Linked DNA regions of Mus musculus. The protein of the gene in region 1 interacts with the protein of each later gene in a biochemical or structural test. Links are inferred from orthologs where the notes say so. Each region holds a gene or a part of one and is shown on either strand. Other genes may lie near its edges.

Region 1 (3,521 bases):
CCGAAGACTTTGGTCCTAGGAGTTGAATGGCTCAGCACCATACAACTGGGTTTCTGTATGTTTCAGAATGCTCAGCATGTGGAAGTAGAGAGCATCCCTTTGCCAGACATGCCGCATGCTCCTTCCAACATCTTGATCCAGGACATTCCTCTTCCTGGTGCACAGCCCCCCTCCATCCTGAAGAAAACCTCAGCGTATGGGTAAGGAAGCCTTACATAATGGAGGGTGGACTGCAGGAGCAGGCCCGGCTAGCACAGCAGCAGCACGGGGTGCTGTGGCTGAGCGGACGGGACATGAGAGCCTGGAGAAGGTTCCTGCCACTCAGCGCCACTGTCCTTCTCCCCCTCCACAGGCCTCCAGCTCGGGCCGTGTCTATCCTTCCTCTCCTGGGACATGGTGTTCCCCGCTTGCCCCCTGGCAGAAAACCGCCCGGCCCTCCACCTGGCCCCCCTCCTCCTCAGGTTCTGCAGATGTACGGCCGGAAAGTGGGCTTCGCTCTAGATCTTCCCCCTCGGAGGCGAGATGAGGACATGCTGTATAGTCCAGAGCTTGGTAGGCAGGGGCAGGGGTTTCCTCCCGTGCCCTTCTCAGTATTGCTTCCATGCTGACCATAGTTAACGTTTGCTACACGGAGAACACAGGAACGCCATGAGGATGCTGTGCTCTTCTGCTGTGTGTCCCTGTGGATAATTTAGCACATCTGCCTGATGAAAGCACCTTAGATAGAATGTTGCTGCAGTTCCCATAAGACAGGAAGAGGTCTTCTCAGTTTCATCAGCGCTGACAAGAGTCACTGACTGTGTGTGAGACTTTACACAATTGTTTCTAATACAGTGTGTTTGCACTTCTTACAAGAAAACAAAAAAGTATTTAAAACTATTACCCAACGCAAATGTCATCATAATACATGGTAGCTGGCATTGCATATAGAAATGTTTTGCAAGTAATGTTGAGCCAAAATGGCATGCCTATTTTTGGATACCAGAGGGCCAACCGTGTCATGTGACTCTCGTGCTCTTTCTGTCATCAGCTCAGCGGGGTCATGACGATGACATGTCCAGCACCAGTGAAGACGACGGCTATCCTGAGGACATGGATCAGGATAAGCATGATGACAGTACTGAGGACAGTGACACTGACAGGTCAGATGCAGAGAGTGACGGGGATGAGTTCGGGCACCGCGAGGACAGTGAGCGCGACAACACTGAGGAGAAGAAGTCAGGTGTGTGCGGGTTAATGTGCCGGGCGTAGATGAACACCGCTGACCCCGGTGCTGAAAGCCCTGGCTTTTGTTAATTAGGTTCAGTGTGTGCGCGCCCGAGTGTACATGCGTGCTAGAGCATCTATGTGGCAGTCCCAGTTGGTTTTCCCGATCCACTGCACAGGGGGTGGGGATGCAGCTTGGGTGATTAGGTTTGGTGAGCCAGCTCACCAGTTCAGGACCAGCTTTTAGCTCCAGTTTGGTTTGGCTTGGTTTTGAGACGGGTGTCTATCACTGTTAATTAGGCTGGCCTCGAGCTCATGGTGACCCTCCTGCTTCAGCCTCCCAAGTTGTGGAGTTAGAAATAAATATAAGCCACCGTACCTGGCCATTTATTTGTCTTGATAGTTTGAAAGGTTTTGACATATTATTCTTACAGGTGTTTGTGAGGAAAGAGTAAGTATATGTAGTTTTTTAAAAGTTATGCAAGAAATTCCACTTTGAGGCAAAAATTGCTAATATACTCTATGATGAACGTGCAGTAGGAAAGGAAGAACATGCATGGTTTTAAATAAGCTTGTGTGCGTGTCTACACTGGGAGCTGGGTTTTCTGTTCTTCATGGGGCCTTTCATAAACTGGGTGACCTTTGTAATTCATATATACTTGTAATTTTATATATAATATATGTGTGTGTATATTATATATTAAATATTTTATATACATATATGTGTCTATACACACATTACATTAACATGTATAATTATATACTATGTATATGTATAAAAGTGTATTTTTCTATATGTCTGCACTGTATTTGTATTTAGAACCATACGCCTGTTCCTTCAAAGCTGGTCACTGGTTGGGAAAGCACCTGTGTAGCGCACTTGGCCTGCATGTAAACAAACCGTTCTCCAAGGGTCAGCTGTGAAGCACCGTTCAGAAAGATGTGTGTGTGTGTGTGTGTGTGTGTGTGTGTAGTGCTGGGGAGTAAGCCTAAGACTTGATGTATATTAAATATATTCAGTTCTGCTGTGTCCTCAATTGTGTGCACACTGTATGTTACGTTTTGTCACAAAAATTTTAAGCACTGTGTTTGGGTACTAAGCAGTGCCAAGCACACACTGAGTGTGTCAGAGCCTAGTAGCCGGGGAGCTTCTTAGGGGCTGTAGCTGTAGTCTCCAGGACGGCATCTGTATACTGTGGTTTTATTTATAAGATCAGCAAGTGACTCTCTTTTTTTTTTAATTGTGTGTGTCTGTGTGCCTCCTACACTTGCGTGTGCCTTGGAGACTACACGGCACTAGATCCCTCAGAGCTGGGTTGTCCAGAGCCCTCTGGAATGCATTAGTGCTCCTTAATCATGATTACGAATGAAAGAAAAGCTTATCAAAAAACTATCATAAATTGGTGTAGGAGCAAGCCTGATCTTGGAAAATTATAGAAGACTCATAAGTTGGAACTGGTCTTAGAAAGGAGAGTGGGGTAGAACTCCAAGTGCAGGACTCCCCTGTAAGACTGCATCCTCTCTCTACTCTGCGGCTGCCAGCTGCTGCTGAGGTCCTGGGGGGTGGCGCTGGGACAGGGTCTTCTGTGTAGCCTTGGCTAGCACAGGACTTACTGACTGGCCTTGAACTGACTGAAGTCCACCTGCTGCTTCCTACTGAACGTTGTGTTCCCCAGTGTGTGTGGACCTCAGATGGCTGGCCCAGCTGCACGTCCTCTCATCTGCTACTGCCTTTACCATAGCCAGGCATTTTTCTGGGCAGTAAAAGTCCAAGATACACTAAAGCTGAACCCACATAGAAATAAATATTCCCTTCCTTAAGTGTTGGCTAAGATGTCAGACACCAGATCAGAAGTGCAGTATCTGTCAGGGTTACTGAAAGATTCTGTAGTGGAAGTGGTGTTGGGGACCGATCATAATCTTTAATCACCTGTTAGAGTATTACTAAGATTTTCCCACCTTTTATGGGGCCTTTTGTCATGATTAGATTACTAATTTTCTAGTGTAAACCATTGGGTACTTTTGGTGCACCCTGCATGCTATGATCGATTTTCCTTACCCAGCACTGTCAGACTCAGTTGTGTTATATTTTATGTTGGTTAATAGGGTATGCTGGTTTCCTGAGTTGGTCAGCTTTCATCTTTTCTGTGACTTACTGTTTTGCTGAATTGCTAAAGAAAATTGTTGCTTTAAGATACATCTTTACCGTTTCAGCTTTTATGTTTAGGGCTTAAAATTGAATTATCTAATTCAGTTTATATACTTCTTAAGTATCCTAACATTTTCTGAACATTAAGTTTTAAGTTAATGCAGTA
Region 2 (2,203 bases), on another chromosome or scaffold:
GAGATGTGCATGTGGGACCATGAAGCAGATCTGGACGCAGGTTGAGGTGACAGGTGGTATAAGGGACATCTGAGCTGACACTCCCTCCCTCTCACTGCCCACAGCGGACTCCCTTACTATTGGAATGTGGAGACAGACCTTGTGTCGTGGCTCTCACCACATGATCCTAACTTTGTCGTTACCAAATCCGCCAAGAAAGTCAGGAACAATAATGCAGGTGAGTTGGCAGATGCAGGGATGCTTTAGTGATTCTTGCAGTCTCGGAGAGAGGCTGAAGAGAGACCATATGTGTAAGAGAGAGGCTTCAGGATTTGTGTGTTACCATAGATGCTGAGGACAAGTCGGACCGGAATCTTGAAAAGGTGGACAGAAATCATGAGAAGTCAGATCGTAGTCATGAGAAGCCAGACAGGAGCCACGAGAAGGCAGACCGAAACCACGAGAAGAATGACAGAGAACGAGAGCGCAACTACGACAAAGTGGATAGAGAGAGAGATCGGGACAGGGAACGAGAGCGGGCATTTGACAAGGCAGACCGGGAAGAGGGCAAAGACCGACGCCACCATCGCAGAGAGGAACTGGCTCCTTACCCCAAGAACAAGAAAGGTAAGCACAGCCGGACGAGGTGGTGCATGCCTTTAATCCCAGCTCTTGGGAGGCAGAGGGAGGTGGATTTCTGAGTTCGAGGCCAGCCTGGTCTACAGAGTGAGTTCCAGGACAGCCAGGGCTACACAGAGAAACCCTGTCTCAGAAACCAAAAAAAAAAAAAAAAAAAAAAAATAAAGAGAAAGAAAGAAAGGTAAGCACATGAGTTTGGGACTTACATGAGTCAAATGAGGTACCAGGGCACAGAATGTCTAGTTCATGCCTAGTCTTCTGAAGGGTGCTGTGGGCCATGTGAATCACTGGTATTACTTTTTCCTGTGAGGAGGGGCTCCTTGGTCTCAAGTAAAGAACTTATCCTGCTATTTATTTCTATAGCGACGAGCCGCAAAGATGAAGAATTAGACCCCATGGACCCCAGCTCATACTCAGATGCACCCCGGTAAGTGAAGCCTTTGGCAGTCTTTTTTGTTCAGGATTGCCACCATGCTTTAATCTTGGGCAATTAAGGGAGGCCCACTCCACCCTCTTTTTTTTTGTTTTTTTGTTTTTTGTTTTTTCGAGATAGGGTTTCTCTGTATAGCCCTGGCTGTCCTGGAACTCACTCTGAAGACCAGGCTGGCCTCGAACTCAGAAATCCACCTGCCTCTGCCTCCTGAGTGCTGGGATTAAAGGCGTGCGCCACCAACACCTGGCCACTCCACCCTCTTCCTGTACTCTAATTCTCTCTTGTCCCCAGGGGCACATGGTCAACAGGACTCCCCAAGAGGAACGAGGCCAAGACAGGTGCTGACACCACGGCAGCTGGGCCCCTCTTCCAGCAGCGCCCTTACCCTTCCCCGGGCGCTGTGCTCCGCGCCAATGCAGAAGCCTCCCGAACCAAACAGCAGGACTGACTGACCCCTTGTTCCCTGTAGCTTTGGCAGTTTGCGTTTCTGTGTTTCTTCCTTGTGGCTCTGGGACAGGAGCCATGGCTTCTATGTGCTGCATTATTATTCCACCAGTGAGCTACACTCCCGGCCCCTTTAGTGTTGTTTGTAAACAACAAGCCCTTGTTGTTTAATAAAAGCTTTTTTTGTGGAACATATCCATGAGGCTTGAGTGCTTCCTTTCCTCATCCTTTCCAGGCTTTCCAACCCAACTTCACAAGGTGCAAAACATTTTATTTGCAGAAACTCACCTAAGAAATACTGTAAAGATAGCAGGAGTAGAGGTGGGCCCATTAACAGAGGTTAGTCATGTCAGCCCTATGTGGGGCAGGGGTTGGTAAGGACAGGGAGTTCCCGTGTCTACCTCACCCTACCCCTAATACTGATAAGAGTTTAGTCCCAGTTGGGCCAGGGCAAGAAGGGAGAACGAAGACAGGCCAGCATCTTCAAGTCCAGCAGCTACGACCCCTTCACCTTGGTGAGCAACCTGTGGTGAAAATGGGAAGGAAAGAGAAACACAGAAAGCTGGGGTGGGCCGGTGGGTGGGTTTCCTAAGCAAGCGAGGCTGGTAGTAAGCTACTAATCTTGGAGTTAGTAATGGTGCTTATGTGGAAAGAGCAGGCCCCTGGGTCAGAAAGCTACACATGGACTAAATAAATACATCATCTTTA

The links.
Region 2: the proteins of Wbp11 (region 1) and Pqbp1 form a complex in vitro, tested with the Homo sapiens proteins (2 studies listed by BioGRID and IntAct, with this or other methods). The link is inferred for Mus musculus from reciprocal best matches to the Homo sapiens genes WBP11 and PQBP1.

The regions. Positions count from the first base shown.
Region 1 is NC_000072.6:136,818,208-136,821,728, reverse strand, and holds part of Wbp11 (WW domain-binding protein 11), read left to right. Parts: intron 1-66; coding exon 67-200; intron 201-352; coding exon 353-552; intron 553-1,030; coding exon 1,031-1,222; intron 1,223-3,521. UniProt on the Homo sapiens protein: Activates pre-mRNA splicing. May inhibit PP1 phosphatase activity.
Region 2 is NC_000086.7:7,894,007-7,896,209, reverse strand, and holds the end of Pqbp1 (polyglutamine-binding protein 1), read left to right. Parts: intron 1-104; coding exon 105-217; intron 218-327; coding exon 328-606; intron 607-981; coding exon 982-1,045; intron 1,046-1,342; coding exon 1,343-1,499; 3' UTR 1,500-1,691; downstream 1,692-2,203. Other genes in the region: Slc35a2 (UDP-galactose translocator), read right to left, coding at 1,992-2,019. UniProt on the Homo sapiens protein: Intrinsically disordered protein that acts as a scaffold, and which is involved in different processes, such as pre-mRNA splicing, transcription regulation, innate immunity and neuron development.